Struthio camelus: one gene and its partners. The protein of the gene in region 1 purifies or fractionates together with the protein of each later gene. This does not show direct contact. Links are inferred from orthologs where the notes say so. Each region holds a gene or a part of one and is shown on either strand. Other genes may lie near its edges.

Region 1 (7,600 bases):
AGAATAGCAATAGCAGAAAGTTCTTATCTTAGTTATCCACACTGTCCTCCCTCCTAATCTATTCTCCCACTTTATTTACATTGTAGTGGTATGACTTCTGTGGAAACACAATGCTTTGTGGCTGCAGAATATTGCAAAAATTACTTTTTATGATGGTGTGTCACAATGAAAGCGTAAAGCAACCTTAGAAAGCATACAAGAAGCGCCCCCTGCCAAGAGGGTGAGAATCCCTGGAAGGTTTGCAGTTTTCCAACTGTAAGTGTGCTCTGCAACAATAGCAATGTACAGATGACTTTAGCAAGACATAAGTCTTCTCCAAGCGCATGCTATTTAAAAGAATCCAGAGTTTCTCAGAGAGCTAAAGGAAACAAAAGCTGTTCCAGATGGACTGATTTACTCTCGTTCCAGCACAACAAGCAGGACCGCATGCCCGAGCCCTTCCAGCCAGGTATAAAGATAACACAGGAGATGGACATCACCAGTGAAGTAGGTCCTTAGCACAACCCTGGTGAAATGCTAATCCTGTGTACCCTAGGCTGTACATGAATGAGAGGATCCTGGTATTGAAGCCTTCTAGATTCTCTCTTTCATATCAAGCTCTGGACAACAGCTGTCTTAACCTTAAAGCTTCTCCCTTTTTCTAAGGGACTTCTTCCTCTGCCCTCTCCCTCCATTTCAAACTAGAGCTCACAAGAAAGCTGGACTAACACATACAGCCCTCCTTTTGAGTCCTTCTCCCTCCTTTCTCAGGAGCCTCCAGCGCCCTAGCCTGCTACTCACAGCAGTAACAGAGGTAGCATTAGGAAACAGACACAATTCCATACAGTTTCACTGCTGCCCACAGGGCTTTGAAAATAGCAGCAGTGAAACTAATAAGTGCAGCTGATCCTATCTATCCAGATTCAGCAGATGACTAAGTACTGCGATATCTAACATTGAGGAAAATAGACCCAAAAGTCGATTTTTACATATACGTTAGCAATAATATGCAGCACAAGTCAGCGTCTTGAAGCTCACACACTTACCAGGAAAACAGTAGCACTGGGAAAGAAATTGTTAAAGCTATTCATGAACATTTGACTGTAAATTAAAACTGCCCAATCAGCTTAATTTGCAGTATACATTCAGATGTCGTATCAGCAAGAAGTCAACCATGGAGAAACGCTGCAGTGTATTACTTCAGGAGATGGTTGAATCCCCTTGTTCAGAGGTGTCAAATAGAAAGGCTAGGCAAATATCTGTCTGAAATGACCTAGCTCAGTAGTAGGAGGCAGGACTGGATGCTTTTGAAATACCTCTAAGCTCTGTAATTCTACAGTTATATTGCATCAAAAAAAGCAAAGCATGTTCTTAAGATAAACTGAACATGAAGGAACAAAAATTAAACAAAACTCTTGAAAGAAAAGATTACTTTTGTTGCAGGAAAAAAAAGTCCAAGAAAGTCTCTGCAATGCCCTACAATTCAAAAACAAACCCAAGACACCTGACCACAATTTTCATTCATCAGTAATAGTTTAATTACCTTTCACCGAGCAGCCCAAAGTATTTCAACTCTGACTGCAGCACACTTTTCTAATAAGAAAAATCTGCATTTTTTTTTAAATTATCTGACTGCTGCACAGCCCCATGGACTTGGCAAACCAAAGGTTACGTCACCCAGCCCATGCTATGCAGCAGATAGCAAGATTAGATCATTACTAGCCCCAGTGGCCTTCCCCCAACAGCTATTACCCAACCTTGAGGGTTAGGAACAATTTTGTGAGAAACCGCATTGTATAGAAACCCGCTGGCCAGTCCTCCTCACATAACAGGAAGGGTTTTCCTTTCACCAGTAACAACAAGGGGAATTTTTCACACTAGATAATTAAAATGGCTGGAACAGACCGAGAAGTTTCCCCTACGCAGAGGTAATGGGGTTTATTCACCAGTCGCTTCCTGCCTTCCGAATTAACGTTGACAGGCACCATTCCTCATGAAATGCCAGGAGCACGCAGAGCGCCGACTGACCCTCAGCGAGGCGGGCGGCGGCCCGGGGCAGCCCGAGCAGTGCCAGCCCCGCACCGGCGGGACCCCCACGCCAGTGGGGGCCGTGCCCTACCAGGAAGCGGCCCCCTCGCCCCCACCCGGGCCAGACCTACAGGACTCTCCTCCCCCGCCCCTCTCCCACACGGGCCCGCTCCGGGCGGGGCCTGCAGCGGCTCTCCGGGCGCCCCGTGCCCCCCGGCCCGCGGCAGGCCAGCAGGACCCCAGCCCCGCAGGCTAGCCCAGCCGCCCCGCCGCTGCCTCCCGGCGCGGCCCGGTGCCCCCCCGGCGCGGCACCTGGAACTGCAGCAGCTTCTCGGTCTGCTCCGCCGTCAGCTCCCGCTCCTCAGGCGCCGCCATCTTCCTGCCGCCTCTGACCCGCCGCTCCGTCACTCTCCGGAAGTGACGTCGCCCACCAGCACTTCCGCCCCGGCTCTCCTGGCACGCGCGCCCGCGCAGGCGCGACTGGCGAGCCAACGGCCGCTTACTCGGCCACAGCCGGAAATACTCGGCCGCGTTCCGGAGATGGCCGAAACGCTCTCGGAGACCGCCGGAGATGCCCGAACCGCGTCCGAAGGGCTCGCAGGCCCGACCCGCTCGGGCGCTCCCGATTGGCACACGAAGAGTTCCGAAAGCCGCTCGGGCATTTCCGGACACGGCCGAGGGCGGCGGCCGCCTCAGGCCTGCTCCGTGGCTGTGCCCAGGGCTGGCGGCCGCGGGTCGCCGGGGGAGGCGGGGGGACCGTGGCAGAACTCGCAGGCCGGAGCCCACGCGGCGCTGGCTTGTCGGCCAGTCACCGAGGTGGTCCCGCAGCCGCCGGCGGGTGTTGTCCAAGCACCTCCAGTTCTCTGAGGACCCCCACCCACAGGCAACGGCCCCACCCAAGATGGCGGACGAGGGGGGGGTCCCCAGCCAAGATGGCGGAGGCGGAGGGCGCCCTCTGCGCCGTCCCGCCAGCTCCAGGGCCGCGGTGGAGCCCGGCCCCGCGTTCAAAATGAAAAGGGCTAAAAGCGAGCACGTGGCTAGGGCCGATGCAGCCACGGGCGGCGGGGGGGGGGGGAGTGGGGCGACCCGGAGAGCCCGCGCCCCAGTGCCCGGCCGTAGGGGCCGCGCCGGGACCGCGTCAGGCTCGCGGGGGCTCCGGCAGCGGCCGGGGCAGCACCGCGACAAGGTGGTGGCAGGCGGATAAGGAGCAGGACGCGGGGCACCAGGGCCCCGCTTGGGCAGGGCGCCCGGCGGCGGTGGGGGGGGGGGGTGGTGTGCCGTTTGCCGGGCACATGGGGCGCCCCCGCCTGCGTGTGCCCACACGGCGGCCGGAGGGAAACCCGCCGGTGGGGCAGCAGGGCAGCCCGGCTCTCCCTGCGCCGGGGGGTGCCGGGCTGGGGGCCCCGCGGGCCCGGTGCGCGGGCGCGGCCCCGCCTGGCCCGCCCCGCCGCTGATGTCAGGCGGCGCCGCCCCCCCCCCCCGCCGCCGCCGCCGCAGTGACAGCTACGCCCGGGCCCAGTCGGGCCGCGCCGCGCCTGCAGCCGCAGCGGGAGCGCGGGGGGGCGCCATGGCCGACGACTTCGGCTTCTTCTCCTCGTCCGAGGGCGCCGCCGCCGAGGAGGACCCGGCCGCCGACTTCCTGGCCCAGCAGGAGAGCGCGATCGCGGGCATCGAGAACGACGAGGGCTTCGGGCCGACCGACGGCGAAGGGGCCCCGGCCTCGGCCCCGGCCCCGCCGGAACCGGGTGAGCGCCGCGCCGGGGGCCGCGGGGTCCTCCCGGCTGCACTGCCGGCGGGGGCGCGCCTCCGGGCTGCGGTCCTCAAGGCAGGAGGATCCGGCCCTGGGCTGCTCCCCCGAAGGCCCCGAGGGGAGGGTTCCCCCCGGGCTGCACCCCTCATGGATGTAAAGGAGGATCCGTCCCTGGGCTGCCCCACTGAGGGCACAGAGGGGATCCCCACAGGCTGCTCCCTGAAGGAGAAGGGGTGGGGGGGCACCCCCCTCCCCGATCTGCACTCCCATGGGCACAGAGTGGGGTCAGTCCCGGGCTGCACCCCTGGTGGTTGCTGATTTGGGGTCCCCTGCAGGCTGCACGGTACCCTCAGTGGGTGATGGGAACCCCCCGTGTGCTGGGTCTGTGCTGCACTCCCAGTGGGCAGGCAGTGGGGACCCCCCTGTGCCCCACATCTGCATCCCCGTCATGATTCTCCGGGGGGCTGTGCTTGGCTCCCCAGGGCTTGGGGTTCCCTCTCCTTGAACCTCAGGTTTTGGCATGACCCTTGAGCTTGGGCTTGCCTGCTGTGGAATGATTCTTTCTTTGTATGGTCAGGCTAGGTTCCCCAGGCTGGACACCCTCCCTTTCCCCCACGTCTCAGTCCCTCTGGCTGGAGCAGGGTGAAGGGGATCCAGGTGGGATTAGGGGACAGTGAGCCATCCATATGGGGCTGGGCAGCCCCTTCACTGGCCCAAAGACCGGAGAGTGCTTTGGCATGCAAAATGGAAGGCATTTCCAGCGGGGACATCAGTGTCTCAGCCCCTGGAGGTATAAGGTGCTAATCCGGATCTCATGCCTCCATTTGGGCCCCACTGCTGCCACAGTCCTCTTGGCTCCTTCCCCTGGCAGGCCTGCAGGGCCCTCCCGTGCTGGCTGCGGGGTGGTGTTTCACCACCCCAGAAGCAGGGCCATGGAGCCGGTTCTGGAGCCCAGAGAGGCGTTGGCAGCTGTGGCAGTAAATGCAGTCAGACAGGCTGAAGCTGGGTGTAGCCGGAGCTGTAGGACCAGTGCTATAGGGAGAGTGCTTGTCTGAGCTGCTCCAGAGCTGTGCTGTCACTGTGTGGCTGTCTGTGCCCCTGGCTGGCCTGGCCCTCGTTGATGAGAGCTCAGGGCCTGGAGTCTGCCTCCTGCGAAGCCTCTTCTCTGCACAGCAACAGAGAGCCCCCATGGGGCTGGTCTTGTGGCCCTGGTGTGCAGCTCTCAGGAAGTTCTCTGGTGCTGGGAAGGAGGTGGGGATGTACTGCAGCCATGGGCATCAGCAGTGCCTCGTTCCCAACCCCAGGGAATTGCGTGCATTCCCCAGACAGGTTCTTGAGGACCTCGGTATGCGTGCCTGCCCTCCTCCTTGCTCGCAGAGTGCACTGCAGTGTCTCTGTGGGCTCCGTTCCTGGCAGGTTTGCCTTCCTGTCACAGGCTCAAAACAGCTCTGCCTTTGCTGGCTGGAGATTGCTGGAGACTCAGCTGACAGCTGTGGGGTCACCAGTCCATGTCCACAGGCATCCTCTGCCTGGCCATTTGCAGGTTCAGATTTGCTCAGGTTGTCTCGGTGCAGTCAAAGTATCTATCTTTGTCCAGTCCCGTGCCTTAAACAGTCACCCTAATCTCCAGATAAGATAAAACACCAGTGAAAACACCATAAAGACATAAATGCTCAGGGAGATTCCTCTAGGAAGGAGAGGTGCTGGCTGAATTCCACCAGGGACAGGAGACCACTGGACGCAGCCCTGAGCCCTCTCACGGGTGGAAGGAGACCCCAGGTACCATACAGCAGCAGCGCAGGGAGGGTTTGCTGGGTTATTGGCTCTGGACACCAGTGCAGACAGTGCACTTCCCCTTCCCCTTGCTGGCATCAGTAGGCAGTGTGGGGCGAGGGTACTGGGGCCTGGGGCAGGCAGGGTGGGCTGTGCTGCCATGCTCTGCTCTGTTTTGGAAAGGGGGGGATTTGGGGCCCTGTTGGGAGCAGGCAGAGCCGATTGGGCTGGGAACGTGACGTCCTCTGAACGCAGAGACCTTGCTGGCTTCTGTTTGAGCTCTGATGTGGCTCAGCTGGTGTCCATTGTTCTGGCCAGCCTGGAGGTCTTCCGTCTCTGCCTCATGTATGGAGGGCTGTTGTGGATTGGTGTGCTGGGTTGGAAACAGCAAAGTCACGTCCTTCTTGAACCGACTTGCCGCTGGTTCATGAACACCAGCCCCTGTGGGGTCACCTGCAGCTGCCATAGCTGTTTTTCTCTTCCTCTCTAGCTGGTTTCCAGAATGGAGGAGCCACTGTCAATGGAGATGTCTTTCAGGTGAGAGCTCAGCCCCTTGCCCTGGCTGGTGTTGCCAAGGGAGATTAGGTGGGTACGGGGCCAGCACTCCGGTGCCCTGTCTGCAGGATTGGTTGGACTTTGCTGTCCAGCCTGGAACAGCTGTGGTGCTCCTGGGAAAATCTGGGTCTCATGTGAGGGAGTTCTGACTGCTCTGTTCTCACCTCTGTGTGAAAGTCTTGTCCCCCCTACCATGGCCCAGGGCTGGGAGTTAGAAGTTTTGGGACTGGCAGAACCAGCCTGATCCTCTTCCAACTGTGCCCCAACTTGCTCCAAATCTGTTTGCAGGTGGGCTGTGCCCTGAAGGAGTGCCTGGATCCTAAGAGCAGATGAAAAGCCTGGAGAAATCCTCCATTCTCCAAAGGCCCCCTCTCTCTAGCCTGGCTCCTGGAGGCCTCTAGGGCAGTAGGGAACATCTCTTGGCAGAGTCTGGAGACAGGACAGGGTTGCTGTGGGGAACCCCCTTTGCTGGTGCACGGCAGTGGTCTTGCTATAGAGCCCCGGCAGCATCTCTCCTTAAACCCGCATGCCTCATGGCTAAGGGTGTGTCAGGGGGCCTCCTGCCTGGGTCTCAGCCCCTTCTGGGAGCCCCAAGCCCTGCTGCGGTGGCGACAGGGGAAGCAGTGCCAGAAGCTGACGAGCTTTTCGTTCCACTCGCTACCAAGTGCTGTGGCATGTGCATTGCCCGTGCTTAGTTTATGGGATGATAATCACATCAGAGATGGGACAGACTTAATTAGATTTGGGGATCTTGGAGGAGAGCTGTAATCCCATCCCTGAGCTTAGAGTGGGGCTGGGCATCCTGACCAGCAGTAGGGGTTAGGAGAGATGCTGATGTGGGCAGAGCAGGATGCTGGGCTTGGCGGGAGCTATAGAGGGCAGCTTGCTCCGAGGAGCGAGGGAGGTTTTGCCTGCAGGCGGGTCTCCAGGCAGAGTGGTGCCTCCCTTGGGCCCTGCTGCTCGCCTGGGCTCTTTCAGTCTGCGGTGGCCAAACTGCCAGACCTGTGATGATGCTAATTCTTGGGGTTGCCCTACCTCTCCTGCCTCTGCCCCGAGTCAGAGCTGTGAAAGCCCAGCGCTGTGACCTCACAGTGAGGCCATGTGGTTGTGGGCACGATGTCACAAAGCTACCTGGCCATTCTCTGCCGTGGGGCGCGCAAAGAACGTGGGCGTCATGTTCGCAGCGAGCAGCCAGCCACGGAGAGGGGGGCTGGTGAGTCCTGCCATCTGGCGGGGCCTGGGCCCCAGGGCTGGGAACTGGGATGGCAGCTTGAGCAGTGCTGTGGGGACACTATGCTGGATGCCCTGGGCTGGTGTGTGGAGGGTAGTCACTATCCCTGCCACCCATTTCAGCCTTTCTCAGTGATGGGAACGCAGAGCCCTGTCCTGCGGTGTCAGCCCTTAGAGGTGGCTGAGCTGGGCTGTAGGAGAAGCTGACGCTGACAGTGAGGCAATTGTGTCCTGCAGGAGTCCAACGGCCCCACAGATGCTTATGCAGCCATAGCCAAGGCTGAC
Region 2 (7,338 bases), on another chromosome or scaffold:
TCCCCCCCGTGTCCCTGTCCCCCCCGGTCCGTGTCCCCCCCCGGTCCGTGTCCCCCCCGTGTCCCTGTCCCCCCCGGTCCGTGTCCCCCCCCGTCCGTGTCCCCCCCGTGTCCCTGTCCCCCCCGGTCCGTGTCCCCCCCCGGTCCGTGTCCCCCCCGGTCCGTGTCCCCCCCGTGTCCCTGTCCCCCCCGGTCCGTGTCCCCCCCCGTCCGTGTCCCCCCCGTGTCCCTGTCCCCCCGTGTCCGTGCCCGCCCCGTGCCTCCCCCGTCCGTGTCCCCCCCCCGTCCGTGTCCCCCCCCCGTCCGTGTCCCCCCCCGTGTTCCCCCCACGTCCGTGTCCCCCCCGTGTCCCTGTCCCCCCCCGGTCCGTGTCCCTCCCCGTGTTCCCCCCACGTCCGTGCCCCCCCCCATGTCCCTGTCCCCCCCGGTCCGTGCCCCCCCCCCACCTTGTGCAGCTGCTCCAGGACGCGGGCGGCGTCGGCGGCCCCGAAGTGTCGCCCCAGCACCCGGCCCAGCTGGGCCCAGATGGCGGGGAAGGGGGGCGCCGGGGGGGGCGCCGCGCCCCGGCCCCCCTCCTCGCCCCCCCCGGCCCGCTCCGGCGGCTTCAGCACCAGGTTCAGCCGGGCTTCGGGCCCGATGGCGTAGTCCGACAGGCGCAGCTCGTCTGGGGGGGGACAGGCACAGGCGGCACAGCGCGGTGACACCCCCGGCCCCCCCGGCCCCCCCGGCCCGGCACCCACCGGCCAGGGCCTTGCCGCGGTAGAGCAGGCGCTGCTGGGCCACGGGGACGTCGAGCTGCTCGGCCACCAGGCGCTTCAGGGCGCCCACCCGCTCCTCGGGGGACACCTGGGGGGGGCACCGTGCTGAGCTGCCCCCCCCGCCGCCGCCGCCGCCCCCCAACCTGCCCCGCGCCCAGGCCTGGAGCCCCCTGCCCAACCAGCCCTTTCCCCCTGAGCCCCCCCAGACCTGCCCCCCTCTAGCAAGGGGGGGGATGAACCCCCTAAATCGTCCCCCACCCCTGCAAGGGGGGTCACTGAGCCCCCCCAAGCCAGCCCTCCCGTGCAAGGGGAGCCCCTAGCCCCCCCCAAACCAGCCCCCCCTGCAAGGGGGGTCACTGAGCCCCCCCAAACCAGCCCCCCCTTCCAAGGGGAGCCCCCGAGCCCCCCCCAAACCAGCCCCCCCTGCAAGGGGGGTCACTGAGCCCCCCCAAACCAGCCCCCCCTTGCAAAGGGAGCCCCTGAGCCCCCCCAAACCAGCCCCCCCTTGCAAAGGGAGCCCCTAGCCCCCCCAAACCAGCCCCCCCTGCAAGGGGGGTCACTGAGCCCCCCCAAACCAGCCCCCCCCTTGCAAAGGGAGCCCCTGAGCCCCCCCAAACCAGCCCCCCCTTGCAAAGGGAGCCCCTAGCCCCCCCAAACCAGCCCCCCCCTGCAAAGGGAGCCCCTAGCCCCCCCCAAACCAGCCCCCCCTGCAAGGGGGGTCACTGAGCCCCCCCCAAACCAGCCCCCCCTTGCAAAGGGAGCCCCTAGCCCCCCCAAACCAGCCCCCCCCTTGCAAAGGGAGCCCCCGAGCCCCCTAGCCCCCCCCAAACCAGCCCCCCCTGCAAGGGGGGTCACTGAGCCCCCCCAAAACCAGCCCCCCCTTGCAAAGGGAGCCCCTAGCCCCCCCCAAACCAGCCTCCCCTGCAAGGGGGGGGTCACTGAGCCCCCCCCAAACCAGCCCCCCCTTGCAAAGGGAGCCCCTAGCCCCCCCAAACCAGCCCCCCCTGCAAGGGGGGTCACTGAGCCCCCCCAAGCCAGCCCTCCTGTGCAAGGGGAGCCCCTAGCCCCCCCAAACCAGCCCCCCCTTGCAAAGGGAACCCCTGAGCCCCCGAGCCCCCCCCCAAACCAGCCCCCCCTGCAAGGGGGGTCACTGAGCCCCCCCCAAACCAGCCCCCCCTTGCAAAGGGAGCCCCTAGCCCCCCCAAACCAGCCCCCCCCTTGCAAAGGGAGCCCCCGAGCCCCCCCCCAAACCAGCCCCCCCTTGCAAAGGGAGCCCCTAGCCCCCCCAAACCAGCCCCCCCCTTGCAAAGGGAGCCCCTAGCCCCCCCCAAACCAGCCCCCCCTGCAAGGGGGGTCACTGAGCCCCCCCCAAACCAGCCCCCCCTTGCAAAGGGAGCCCCTAGCCCCCCCCAAACCAGCCTCCCCTGCAAGGGGGGGGTCACTGAGCCCCCCCCAAACCAGCCCCCCCTTGCAAAGGGAGCCCCTAGCCCCCCCAAACCAGCCCCCCCTGCAAGGGGGGTCACTGAGCCCCCCCAAGCCAGCCCTCCTGTGCAAGGGGAGCCCCTAGCCCCCCCCAAACCAGCCCCCCCTGCAAGGGGGGTCACTGAGCCCCCCCAAACCAGCCCCCCCTTGCAAAGGGAGCCCCTAGCCCCCCCAAACCAGCCCCCCCTTGCAAAGGGAACCCCTGAGCCCCCGAGCCCCCCCCCAAACCAGCCCCCCCTGCAAGGGGGGTCACTGAGCCCCCCCAAACCAGCCCCCCCTTGCAAAGGGAGCCCCTAGCCCCCCCCAAACCAGCCCCCCCCAAGGGGAGTCACTGACCCCCCCAAACCACCCCCCCCAGCAATAGGGGAGTCCCTCAACCCCCCCCCAGCAAGGGGGGACCCCCTGAGCCCCCCAAACTAGCCCCCCAGTAAGGGGGGGAGCCCTTACCCAGACCCCCCCCGGCCCCCCCGGCCGAGGCCGCCCCCCCGCCAGCCCCATCGCTCCGCTTTCTCCCCTCTTGTGACCCCCGCCGGGCCCCGTACCCCGCCCCCGCCGCTCCCCATGGCCCGCCCCAGCACCCGTACCTCCCCCCTCCCCCGGCGCCGTCCCCTGCGTGACCCTCCGAGGCCGCCGTCCGTCCCCCCGGTACCTGGAGGCTGCACTCCCGCCCCTGCAGCGCCTTCACCGTGAGCAGCATGGCGGGAGCGGGAGCGCCGCCGCCGCGGGGGCCGCGGGCCCTTTAACGGCCACCAGCGAGCGCCGCGGCTAGAGCGCCTCGCCGCGCGGCCACCGTAGCGCCGCCCCCTAACGGCCCCGCCTGGAGGACCGGCTGGCCAGAGCGGCCCACTCGCTCCCTTCCCCGCCCCCTCCCGCCCATCGAGGCGGGGCCAGAGCGGCGCCGGGCGGAGGGGGAGGCGGGGCCTGTGACGTCGCCAGCGGTCGGCGCGATGGCGGCGGAGGCGCGAGACGGGCTGGAGTTGTATCCTGGCCCGGGGCGGGGGGCGCTGGGGGTCCGGGGGGCACCGGGGGGGCTGGGAGCCGAGGAGGGGGCGCTGAAGGGGCTCTGAGGGGTTATGGGGGGGCTGGGAGGGAGCTGGGGGGCTGGAGAGAAAATGGAGGAGCCCTGGGGGCGCTGGGGGGGGATTGGGTGTCCCAGAGAGGGATCAGGGTGGCTAGAGGGGGAGTTGTGGGGCTGGGAGGGGCCTGGGGGGCTTAAAGAGGGACAGGGGCAGCAGTGGGGTGGGCAGAGGGGGCAGTGGAGGGCTGGGGGGGTCAGGGGGCTTTGGAGGGGCTCTGAGGGGTTATGGGGGTCCGGGGGGGGCTGGGAGGGAATTGGGGGGCTGGAGAAGCAGAGGGGGCACTGGGGGAGGGACTGGGGGGGCAGAGGGAGGCATTGGGGTGCCTAGAGGGGGAACTGGGGGGGCCAAAGGAGGGAACTGGGAGGTACTGGGGGGGGCCTAGAGGGGGGCACTGGGGAGCAGGCTGGGCGGCCTTGGAAGGGAACTGAGGGGTCACGGGGGGGGAGTTGGGGGCCCAGGGGAGGTTTAGGGTGCCTGGGGGGGGAATTGGGAGCCCAGGGAGGGAACTGGGAGATACTGGGGGGCCTCTGGGGATCAGAGAGCTTAAGGGCGTATGGGGAGGGGCTGAGAGGGGGTTTGGGGGGTCTGAAGGGAGAATTGGGGGGGGCAGCGAGGAGAGCGATGGGGTTTGGGGGGGGGCTGTAGGGAGGGAAGTGGGGGGAATCGTGGGCCGGGGAGGGAGGTTTAGCGGTGGAATTGGGGGGGGCCCCGGGGGGGGCGCGGGGCGCTTCCTTAGCGGCCAGCCGGCTGAGCGTGCCCTTCCCGTCGGCGCTGGAGGCGCAGATCGCCCACGGCTCCCTGGCCCCCGACGCCCAGCCCCGCCGGGGGGGCGTCCGCCGGGACCTGGCCCTGGACGGCCCCCACCTGCAGGCGTGAGCGGGGGGCGCCGGGGGCGATTTGGGGCACGGCGGGGTGGGGGGCAGGAATGGGAAAAGAGTGGGGGGTCCATGGGGGCAGTTTGGGGGCAGGAGGGGGCGCTGGGGGCAGGAGGGGGTGCAGGGGGCAGGATGGGGGAGTCATGGGGCAGTTTGGGGGCAGCAGGGGGGTCATTGGGCCAGTTTGGGGAGGGGGTGGAAGGTGAGGAGGGGGTGCAGGGGGCAGGATGGGGGGTCATGGGGCAGTTTGGGGGCAGGAGGGGTGCAGGGGGCAGGATGGGGGGTGCAGGGGACAGTTTGGGGGCAGGAGGGGGCGCTGGGGGCAGGATGGGGGGTCATGGGGCAGGATGGGGGGGTCATGGGGGCAGTTTGGGGGCAGGAGGGGGCAGTGGGGGCAGGATGGGGGGTCATGGGGGCAGTTTGGGGGCAGGAGGGGGCAGTGGGGGCAGGATGGGGGGTCATGGGGGCAGTTTGGGGGCAGGAGGAGGTGCAGGGGGCAGGATGGGGGGGTCATGGGGCAGGATGGGGGTCGTGGGGCAGGAGGGGGCGCTGGGGGGGTTCGGGGCAGGTTGGGGCTGTGGGGGGCCGCGGCAGCTCCCCCCCCCCCCGCAGGCGGTGGTGGGCCCCGGAGGCGCGGAGCCTGCGCGTGGCCGTCGGCTCCTTCCTGGAGCACCTGGAGCTGGTGGTGGAGACCATGGAGCGCTTCGGGCCCCCCCGGCCCCGCTAGCCGGCACCCCCAACGGGGACCCCCCCGGACTGGGGACCCCCCCGGACTGAGACCCCCCCGGACTGAGACCCCCCCCAACGGGGACCCCCCCGGACTGGGGACCCCCCCGGACTGAGACCCCCCCCAACGGGGACCCCCCCGGACTGGGGACCCCCCCCCCAAAATGGGACACCCCCCCCCAGGCTGGGGCTCGGCGGGGAGGACCCTGAGCGATTGGGGGTTTCCCCCCAAACTGGGGCCCCCCCAGTGAGACCCCCCCGGACCTGCCCCCCCCCCACCCCAAGCTGCCGGGGGGGGGGGGTCGTGCCGCGAAATAAAGCCCGCGGGAGGCTGCTGTGTTTTTGGGGGAGGGGAGCACTTTAATGCGCGACACCAAGTTAACGAACATGGGGGGGGGGGCACAGACACAATAAATAAGGCACCGCGCCCGGGGGGGGGGGGGCGGGCGGGGCCGGGGGGGGTCCCGGCCCCCGGGGGGGGTCAGGCCGGGGGCCCGAGCAGGGCCAGGACCTGCTCCAGGCGCTGCCGCAGCCGCTGCTGCCGGCACCCGGCGTCGCGCTCCAGCGCCGCCAGCACCTGCGGGGGGGGGGGGGGTCACACCACTGCGGGGGGGGGGGTGACCCGCTACTGGAGTGTACCATTACGGGGGGGGGAAGTAGTTGCTACCAGACCATCCCATTATCTGTGGGGGGGGGACACTAGAACATACTAGTTTGGGGGGGGGGAGGTGCTCCCGGACCATACCACTATCGGGGTGTTTTTCAGCTGGGGGGGGTGAGGGCCCTCGACCATTCCGTTGTTGGAGGATAATCTGCTACTGGACCATGCCATTATCAGTGAGGGGGTGGACTGGAACATACCATTATTTTGGGGTGGGGGGGGGCTGCTATTGGGCCATGCCATTATCAGCTGGGGGGGGCCTGAACGTACTATTTGGGGGGGGGGGGCTGTTATTGGGCGGTGCCACTATCAGCTGGGGGGGGCTGGAGTGTACCAGTGAAAGGACAGGGAGCTAGTGGAGCATACCATTATCAGCTGGGGAGGTGTGCAGACTGGACTCTACTATTTTGGAGGAATGGGCCCATTGGGCCATACCATTACTATGGAGCAGGGGAATCATCGATCGGGTCCCACCATTACTGTTTTGCCCACTGGACTATACCATTAATTGGGGGGGGAACTTTCCCTTGACTCCCTCATCTCTTTGATTGGGGGGGGGGTCTACTGGGCAGTACCATTCTGCAAAACCTTGGGGGGGGGAAAAAAACCCCACTGGACCATACCATGATAGGGGAACTTAATGGATTGTACCATTGTACCATTAAAGGGGGTTCCTACTGGATTCTATCATTATTTGTAATGGGGGGGGTCCATTGGTGCATACCATTATTATTTGGGGAGGGGGCACTACTCGACTGCTGTTATCATGGCTATTATCATGGGGGGGGGAACCAATGGACCGAACTATTATTGGGGGGTAACCTCCCAATGGATCATACCATTATTGGGGGGAATCTACTGGATTGTACCAATATTTGTAATGGGGGGGGGTCCCACTGGCCTGTACCATTTCAGGGGGGGAATGAATGGTAAGCCTCAGTTACTGCAGCTCTGGTGGGGGGGGACTGGGCTGTACTGGGGGTTACTGGGAGGACCCACCTCATCGCGGTAGCGCCCCACGTACTGGTAGAGCCCCCCCAGAGCCCCCAGCGTGTCGAACTCGCCAGCGTGGAGCCGCGACTGCTCGGCCAGGAAGGCGTCCATCTCCCCCTCGCTGATGGGCGCCAGCCGCCCCACGGCCCGGTAGTACCTGGGGGCGCCCCACAGCTCCTGGGGGGCAGCCGGGACCCCCCCCCCAAACCCTTCCAAGCCTGCCAACTCCTGGAGGGCTGTGGGCACCCCAAATCCCCCCCCCCCAACCACCCGTGGGTGAGGAGGGACTCAGGAGGGCCAGCAGTGCCATGTGCCCCCCAGCAATGTCCCTGATGTCCCCCCGTCCCATGTCCCCACCTCTTGATCCAGGCATGGTGGGTGCACAGGTCCCATGCCCCCCTCCATGTCCCCAGTGCCCCCCCCCCCCCGGATGTGACAGGCAGGCAGCCCTGTGCTCCCCTGTCCTCCCAATGTCCCCACGTCCCCACCTCTCGACCCAGGCGCACTAGGCGGGCAGGCCCAGGTCCCCGCGGTGTCCCCAATGTGTCCCCATGTCCCCACCTCTCGACCCAGGCGCACTAGGCGGGCAGGCCCAGGTCCCCGCAGTGTCCCCGCAGTGTCCCCACGTCCCCACCTCTCGACCCAGGCGCACTAGGCGGGCAGGCCCAGGTCCCCGCAGTGTCCCCAGTGTGTCCCCACGTCCCCACCTCTCGACCCAGGCGCACTAGGCGGGCAGGCCCAGGTCCCCGCGGTGTCCCCAATGTG
Region 3 (8,045 bases), on another chromosome or scaffold:
CCCATGGCCACCCCAGCCCCATGGTGCCTGTCCCCATATCCCCAGCCCCATGGCCACCCCACCCCACAGTGCCCGTCCCCATGTCCCCATGTCCCCAGCCCCATGGCCACCCCAGCCCCATGGTGCCTGTCCCCATATCCCCAGCCCCATGGCCAACCCAGCCCCACAGTGCCCGTCCCCATGTCCCCATATCCCCAGCCCCATGGCCACCCCAGCCCCTCCGTGCCTGTCCCCATATCCGCATGTCCCCAGCCCCATGGTCACCCCTAGCCCCATGGTGCCTGTCCCCATATCCCCAGCCCCATGGCCACCCCAGCCCCATGCCCACACCCGTGCCTGTCTCCTCATCCATATAGCTTCAGCCCCATGGCCACCCCGGTCCCTCAGTGCCCATCCCCATGTCCCCGTATCCCCAGCCCCATGGCCACCCCAGCCCTACGGTGCCCATCCCCATGTCCCCAGCCCCACAGTGCCTGTCCCCACAGCCCCACGGCCCCAGCCCCGTGGCCACCCCAGCCCCCCCCACCGGTCCCCAGCCCCCCCAGCCCCACGTCCCCGCGCGAGCCCAGCCAGCCCGGAGCACCATCTGCCGGGCCTGCTCTTCCGGAGTTTGGGAGGAAATTTCTCCAAATCACACCAGTTTGGGCTGGATGGGCCAGATCCAGCCCGGGCTTGTAGCCTCCCCTGGGGCAGGCGCGGAGCCCGCTGCTGCGGTTTTCCCGGCTGCAGCTACTTCCCGCCCGGTGCCGGTGCCACGCGCCCCCGACGGAGGCCGCACGTGGCCGCCTCGCCGCGCGCCGGCCCCGCTTCTCCCCGGCCCCCGAGCCGGGGTCGGCACGGCTCGCCGCCCCGCCGGCCCGCTCCGCTCGGGGCTCGTCTGCCCGCCGGCGGCGCGGGAGAGGGGGCAGCCCGGGCGCCCGACCGCGGGCAGGGCAGCCGGGAACGGCCAGACCCCGACTCCGGCTTTGCGCCCAGCAGGCAGCCACAGCCCCTCTCCGAGCGCGGAGGGGAGGGGGCTGCCGGAGGGGCCGCGGGGCAGGGGGGCTGGGGCCCCGGCCCTGCGCCCAGCTCCTCTTTGCAGCCTCCTCGCCGCCTCGGCACCTAAGCGCCGGCTCCGCCGGGTGGCACCGCGTCCCGTTTGCGCCTCGAGCTTGTGCCCGGGGACGGGGAAGGCCGGCGAGGGGACGAGGAGGCCAGAAGGAGAGCGCGCTCACCGCCGCCGCGGCGCTCGGGACCGCCAGCGGGCTGGTGCGGCGGCGAGGTGCGGGAGCAGGGTTTCCGCCCGCGCTCTCCTCTCCAGCACCCGTCGCCCCGCGGGCGCGCGTGGCCCCGCCGGACGCCTCGTCTCCCCCGGCCTCCGGCCCCGATCCCGCCAGGACTTACCCCAGAGGAGCAGAGCCGCGCTCCTCGCCATCCCGGCCGGCTCCGACTCGCCCGGCCGGCTGCTGACGCTGGGCCACCTCCCCTTTGCATAACTGCTATTTGGAGAAAAGGAAAAGGAAGTGGCTTGTGCTCCCCCCCCTGGGGCATTTCCCCCATCCTCAGTGGCCAGGACAACACAGCGAGCAGCACCCAGGGGCTCGGGATGGGCCTTTGTGGGTGCCAGCTGCTTGTCGCCACCGAGCCGGCGCAGAGATGTGGCTGGCGGCAGCAGGGGGCCGGGTGCTCAGGTCTTCCCGCACGTGGCCAGCATTGAGCCAAGGGGCGACAGGAGCCGACAGAGGGTTTGGAGCTGCTAACCCCATCTCCGGGCTGGGCAGCTGGGCGAAACGGTCTCTGAGTGATGCAGCACCTCTTGGACAGGTTCCCAGCACCGGCTCTGCCGGGTCGTGCGCAGTGACCGTAACATGTCCTCTGTCACCCACGTGTGTCTGATCACTTGCAGATGCTTTGATAAGCAAATGATCTGGTGAGAACTGAAGCGAGCTGTGTTGTGCAGCCCCCGATTCTCAGCAAACAGTGAAAAAGAAGGAGAGCCCCCAGGCTCCCCCTCTGCGGTTCCCGCGGCTGCCCCTGGGGCCAGCGGGGACAGTCACCCCGTGGGACACGGGTGCACGGGCAGACAGCCTGACCGTGCTGCTGGAGGGGTCAATCCAGTCTCTTTTCTTTGCTCAGCAGGTTTATTGGAAGCAGACAGCTCGCCCTGCTCGCAGCCCTCGCTGCGGCTCCGCAGCACAGGGCATGGAGCGATCCAGGGCTTGCCACCCCGTCCTTGCAGGCTCCAGTACCTCTTTTTCAGGCTAATACTTTGCAACAGGTTAATATAGATACCGTATACCTATGCAATGGGTTACTGTGTATCAGATATACCTATGCAACAGGTTATTGTATAAAGAATATATATATGCAATGGGTTATTATATTAACATATGTGAGAAAGCTGAGGGTCCGGTTGGAGCCGTGTGTTTCCTGAGCACCTCTGAAAGCCGCTGCCGGTCGGTGTTTCTCGCTAAGCCGTAGACGCGTGGCCGGGTGGTGATGGCGGGTCGACAGGCGGCGAGCGCAGAAGTCTGGCAGGGGTAGGGGAAAAAAAGCAAACGAGGTTTTAAACCAAACGTTTCCCCCCCGAAGGGAAAGGGCGGCAGCCGGAAGGGGAGGGAAGGGCTCCTGCGGCAGCACTGCCCCAACGCGACGCATCTGCGGAGGGGGTTTTGCCCATCCGCTTCAGAGCAGCAACCGCTTCACACGTGTGCATCGCTGCTGCAGGTGCTCCCTTGTTTTTTGAAGGAGCCGATGTGTCTAGAGCCAGTAAAAAGCTAAATGCATGGTACGCCGCAGGGTAAAGTCACACAAATTTCCGTCGGTGGCGTGGGGCCAAGGTCACAGCCTGGGTTTTGTTCCGTGAGAGTGCAAACACACACGAGCGTGCATGCTCACACATGCGGTGCCCGAGGGAGCCGCTTACCTCGCCGCTACCAGCAGCAGCGGGGCAGGAGGAAACCAAGGGCGGCAGCGACGAAGACCGGGCTCATCCTCGGGTGCCAGCGGCAGGAGGCCGATCGGCCTGGCCCTGGGGAGAGAGCGCGGCCGTCACGGGGGACCTCTCCGGGGAGGGGACGGGAGGTCTCCGTGGTGGCCCCTCACCTCCTCTGGTGCCCGTCGAGGAGCAGCCTGGAGTCGACGAGCAGCTGTCCCCGGCGGTCCCGTTGTCCTTGGGTACCTGCACCCCGGGGCCCTTCGTTGGGAGCCCCGAGGGCATTTGAGCAGGGGGACAAAGTGGGGGTCAGGGTAAGCGAAGGACTCAAAGCCAGGGGCTTATGTGCCCCCCAGCTTTTCCAAGGATTAACTCCATCCTCTGCCTCTCCTCCAGCCAGGGCAGAGGTGCCGGGGAGAGGGGAAAGGACGGGGGAGCCCCAGCCCGGTGACACCCACTGCCACGGCGCTCAGCACCCAGCCAGCCCCAACCTACGGGGGGGAGGTGGTCCCACGGCGGCGGGAAGAGGGCCGGGGGGCTCTCGAGGGACGAAGTCAAGCCCTGGCTGCTGTACGACAGGTACACGCAGGAATAGGCGCCGGGCAGCGCCCTGTCTTCGATGGTGGGCGACGAGGCGTTCCTGAAGTTCTTCTTGGGGCCCTGGGGCTGTGACCGCCAGTAAAATCGGTACATGGTCACGGACGAGGTGATGGGAGCCAGGCACCGCAGGGTGACGAGCTTGTCCTGGCTGGAGCCGTGCAGGCTGAAGTGCGATGGGAGGATGCTCAGGAAAGGGGCTGGCAGGAGGTCTGCAAGGGAAAGGCTCCGGGCAGCGGGGCGGGCGGGCGGGCGAGCGGCTCCCCGCGGCGGACGGCACCCTCCTTACCTGCGGGGTGCCCGGGCTGCGGCAGGGTCTGGAGCCAGGCTGCGGAGAGACGGGGGGAGCGGTGAGAGCTCGGCGGCACCACGAAGGGCCGCTTTGGGCCGGGCGGGGAGCGGGATGGCACTTACTCAGCAGAGGCAGGAGCAGAGCGAGAGCCATGGCGAGCGGAGTGGCGCTGGGTAGAGCTCGAGCATCCCAGCCCGAGACCTCTTCCCGCACCTTTTCTTGGAGGGGAAGGAAAGGTCCTTCCCCTGCGGTCCCCGCGGCAGGGAGACAAAGGCAGGAAACGCCACAGCCCACCCCGCTGGGCTTCCTCTCCCCCAGGAAGCCCACGGGGCAGGCCCGGCCCAGCGAGGGCAACCCACCGCAGCCCCGAGCAGCGGCAGCCGCGGGCAGCCGTGATGGGCACAGCTGGGCACAGCTGGGCACAGCTTGCCAGGCCCCGGCAGCTGCTGTGGGGACGTGCTCCCCCCGTCCTGCCAGCCCCCCCGGCTCCCCCCGGGGCCGGCGGGAGCGGCTTCGCCAGCCGGGGGGACGCGGCTGCCCGGGTGCCCGGTTCACGGGGGGATGCGGCTCCCTGGGGCTCCCCAGTTCGGGGGGGGACGTGGCTTTGCCGTTCACAGGGGATGCGGCGCCCCGGTGCCCGGGGGGGGACGCGGCTGCCCGGCTCACGGGCTGCCCGGGGATGGGGGGGGGGGGGGGACGCGGCTGCCCGGCTCACGGGCTGCCCGGGGTTGGGGGGGGGGACGCGGCTGCCCGGCTCACGGGCTGCCCGGGGATGGGGGGGGGGGACGCGGCTGCCCGGCTCACGGGCTGCCCGGGGATGGGGGGGGGGGGGGGGGGGACGCGGCTGCCCGGCTCACGGGCTGCCCGGGGATGGGGGGGGGGGACGCGGCTGCCCGGCTCACGGGCGCCCCGGTGCCCGGGGTGGGGGGGGGGGGGGACGCGGCTGCCCGGCTCACGGGCTGCCCGGGGATGGGGGGGGGTTGGGGGGGGGGGACACCGCGAAGCCCCTCGCGGCGCGGCGCGGCCCGGCCGGAGCCCCGCGCTGCAGCTCCGCGCGGCGCCGCCAGGGGGCAGCGGGGCGTCCTGGCCGGGAGCGCGCTGCGGCGCCGCCTGGGGGGCGCTCGCGGAACGGCGTGGGGCGGGGCGTGGGGCGGGGCGTGGGGCGGGGCGTGGGGCGGGGCGTGGGGCCTCAGGGGCGGAGCTTGCTAGGCCGGGCCCCGCCCTCCGGCGGAGGCGGAGCGGCGCGAAGATGGCGGCGGAGCCGGGCCCGGGCCCGGACCAGGAGCTGGACGAGTTGCTCGACAGTGAGCGGGGCCGGGGCAGCGCCCGGGCCGGGGGGAGCCTAGGGCTGGGGGGGTGGTCGGGGGGGGCAGCAGCGGGGCCGGGGGGGGAGGTGGTCGTGGGGGGGGCAGCAGCGGGGCCGGGGGGGGGTGGTCGGGGGCGGCAGCAGCGGGGCCGGGGGGGGGTGGTCGGGGGGGGGCAGCAGCAGCAGGGCCCGGGGGGGTGGTCGTGGGGGGGGCAGCAGCGGGGCCGGGGGGGGTGGTTGGAGGGAGCAGCGGGGCCGGGGGGGGGTGGTTGGAGGGAGCAGCGGGCCCGGGGGGGGGGGTGGTCGGGGGCAGCAGCAGCGGGGCCGGGGGGGGGTGGTCGGGGGCAGCAGCAGCGGGGCCGGGGGGGGGTGGTCGGGGGCAGCAGCAGCGGGGCCGGGGGGGGTGGTCGGGGGCAGCAGCAGCGGGGCCGGGGGGGGTGGTCGGGGGCAACAGCAGCGGGGCCGGGGGGGGGTGGTCGGGGGCAGCAGCAGCGGGGCCGGGGGGGGGTGGTCGGGGGCAGCAGCGGGGCCGGGGGGGGGGTGGTCGGGGGCAGCAGCGGGGCCGGGGGGGGTGGTCGGGGGCAGCAGCGGGGCCGGGGGGGGGGTGGTCGGGGGCAGCAGCGGGGCCGGGGGGGGTGGTCGGGGGCAGCAGCGGCCCGCACCCCACAGCAACTTTCTGCTGCCCCAAGAGCGGTGGTGCCATGCCCCGGGGCTGGGAGACCTCCCCTCGCCTGTCCCACAGGCATCCCACCCCGATGCTGCCTGGGGCCAGGAGTTTCAGGGTCAACCCCTGCTTGGGGTGCTACAAGCCGGGACCCCCCGTCCCTGCCCCTTGTCGCACCGTCCTCGGCCGGATCCCCGCTTACCTGGCCCGGCCCCGCTCCTGTCCCCAGGTGCCCTCGACGACTTCGAGAAGGCCAGGCCCACCGCCCCACCGCCGCCTGCCCCCACAGACCCTGGCCACTCCGAAAAGTCTCCCAGCGATGCAGCCAAGGTGCGACGCCATCAGGACGTGGCCTCCCTCTGCCGCTGCCGGCTTGCCGGGGCTGGAGGAGCTGGGCAAGGGGGGGAAGAGCCCTGTTGCAGGGCTGTTTTTGCCACGGGCCAGTATTTGCCCTCTGCGAGGTTGGAAAGCAGCATCTCCTGGGGCTGCTCTGTCGCTGCCAGCTGCAGCCCTTCCAGGCATCCAGAGCAGGGCACAGCTCTGACTGTGCCCGTTTCCCTCAGGAATCACTCTTCGCCTCCCAGGAGAAGTTTTTCCAGGATTTGTTTGACAGCGAACTGGCCTCGCAGGCCACAGCGGAGTTTGAGAAAGCCATGAAGGAGCTGGCTGAGGAGGAGCCGCACTTGGTGGAGCAGTTTCAGAAGCTGTCAGAGGCAGCAGGCAGAGTCGGTGAGTGGTGCTGAGCCCCTGTGCGTGCAGGGAGTAGGTGCTGGGCTGTGGGCAGCCCACAGCTGCCATTGAGAACCCGATTCTCCTCTGCCGGGGAGAGGCTTTCTGTGGATAACTCTTACCCCACCTGGGTCCTGGGAGCCCCTCGGCCTGCAGTGATCCCAGCTGAAGCCAACTTTGCAAAGGGAGCTTCCCTCAGGATTTGGCCTCTCTGCCTTTCTCCTTCGACTGTCCTCTTAGTCCCTATGGAAGAGGAGATCCCACCTTAACCCAGCTGTGGAGCATCCCCTTGGAGCCTGCTCATCCTAAATCCCCGCCACGCAGAGGTAATCTGCGTGACATGGATTCCTCAGGAGAAGTTTGGGCTCAATCGGAACGTCGTCTTGTCATGATTAGCACTGGGGGTATATGGAGAAGTGGATGTGAAAGCAAGATCCTTCCTCCGCCTTTCCTTAGCAGCCTTCTCAGCTATGCTGGAAGGCTGGTAACAAGTTGTGTGTCACTGGGATGTCTGACTGCAATTAGAAGCACCGTGGAGCCACTTGGGGCTTAATTATGCTCCCTTAATTAGATTGGGTTTACTCCAGGAGTGTTGAAAAGCACTTGCAGGACGGTCATGCGTGGACCTGTGCAGCTGCCAAAGTCGCTCGTGGGCTCCCTGGGAAGGAGATGCATGTCAGTGCATGTCAACATGCCAATGTCACTCACTGAGAGCTTTCCCCCGTGCCCGGGACGTGGCAGGCTGGACGCAGTCAGCCTCTTAGTGGATTTAAAGCAAGCAGCGAACCCCTCAGTTAGTGGACCACAGGTCCAACGCTCAGTTGGTTTCACCACTACGAGGCTTGTTTCAACCTGGTGAACTCTTCAGGTAGCGCAAGACCGGTTTAAAAATAAATCCTGCCTTGCCAGGCTTACGCTGACATCCACATTGGCCCCAGCAGCCGTTCCCAGGGTCGAGGTCTCGGCTCGCAGCCAACTCTGCTGCTGGCTGGGCCAGGAGTCTGTTACCAAGGGCACGGGCAGAGCAGCACATGCTGCCCGAGGGTAAGATTTCCTGGCTCCGTGTGCCAGGGTTTGGCATGCTGGACTCTGGGATGTCGTCTGTGTGCCGTGGTAGCAGTTGGATTGCCCTGCCCTGCCGCCTAGCACTGCACCATGAGCTAAAGGGCAGAAGATCCTTCTTGGCCCCTTGGGATGGTTGAGCAATCGCTGTTGTCACCGGTTGTGCAGGGCAGAGGTTTGTTTGGTAACAGACAGGACAAAGTGTGCCTTCACAGGAGGGGATGCATGAACGTGGCTCTCGGAGGGCATCAGCAGCTGGCGTTTCTTCAGTGTGGACTGTGGAGAGCTCCCAGAGGACTTTCCACAGACTTGGGCAGGGAAGGTCTTAATTTAACTCTGGGCAGGTCAGTGTTTCAGTTTCCCTAGGAGTCCTGCCGTGACCGAATCTGAGGCTGTTTTCTTTCTCTGGCCATTGGACAACGCAGGATGAAGTCACCCCTGGGTGCTGCTGAGCTGTCGTGTTCAGAAGTGGGGTCTCGGG

What was found. The genes of interacting proteins can lie anywhere in the genome.
Region 2: the proteins of FAF2 (region 1) and UBL4A purify together in Homo sapiens (affinity purification with mass spectrometry; 3 studies listed by BioGRID and IntAct, with this or other methods). This does not show direct contact. The link is inferred for Struthio camelus from reciprocal best matches to the Homo sapiens genes FAF2 and UBL4A.
Region 3: the proteins of FAF2 (region 1) and PEX19 purify together in Homo sapiens (affinity purification with mass spectrometry; 4 studies listed by BioGRID and IntAct, counting the BioPlex papers as one, with this or other methods). This does not show direct contact. The link is inferred for Struthio camelus from reciprocal best matches to the Homo sapiens genes FAF2 and PEX19.

Annotation. Positions count from the first base shown.
Region 1 is NC_090954.1:10,069,368-10,076,967, forward strand, and holds the start of FAF2 (FAS-associated factor 2), read right to left. Parts: upstream 3,055-7,600; 5' UTR 2,383-3,054; coding exon 2,320-2,382; intron 1-2,319. Other genes in the region: CLTB (clathrin light chain B), read left to right, coding at 3,461-3,752, 6,021-6,067, 7,553-7,600. UniProt on the Homo sapiens protein: Plays an important role in endoplasmic reticulum-associated degradation (ERAD) that mediates ubiquitin-dependent degradation of misfolded endoplasmic reticulum proteins.
Region 2 is NC_090979.1:62,902-70,239, forward strand, and holds the start of UBL4A (ubiquitin-like protein 4A), read right to left. Parts: upstream 3,062-7,338; 5' UTR 2,937-3,061; coding exon 2,889-2,936; intron 846-2,888; coding exon 740-845; intron 664-739; coding exon 446-663; intron 1-445. Other genes in the region: EKC/KEOPS complex subunit LAGE3, read left to right, coding at 3,187-3,218, 4,062-4,190, 4,806-4,920; PLXNA3 (plexin-A3), read right to left, coding at 5,401-5,496, 6,580-6,730. UniProt on the Homo sapiens protein: As part of a cytosolic protein quality control complex, the BAG6/BAT3 complex, maintains misfolded and hydrophobic patches-containing proteins in a soluble state and participates in their proper delivery to the endoplasmic reticulum or alternatively can promote their sorting to the proteasome where they undergo degradation.
Region 3 is NC_090971.1:620,994-629,038, reverse strand, and holds the start of PEX19 (peroxisomal biogenesis factor 19), read left to right. Parts: upstream 1-4,984; 5' UTR 4,985-5,052; coding exon 5,053-5,107; intron 5,108-6,002; coding exon 6,003-6,103; intron 6,104-6,336; coding exon 6,337-6,502; intron 6,503-8,045. Other genes in the region: Fc receptor-like protein 4, read right to left, coding at 1,384-1,478, 1,741-1,745. UniProt on the Homo sapiens protein: Necessary for early peroxisomal biogenesis. Acts both as a cytosolic chaperone and as an import receptor for peroxisomal membrane proteins (PMPs).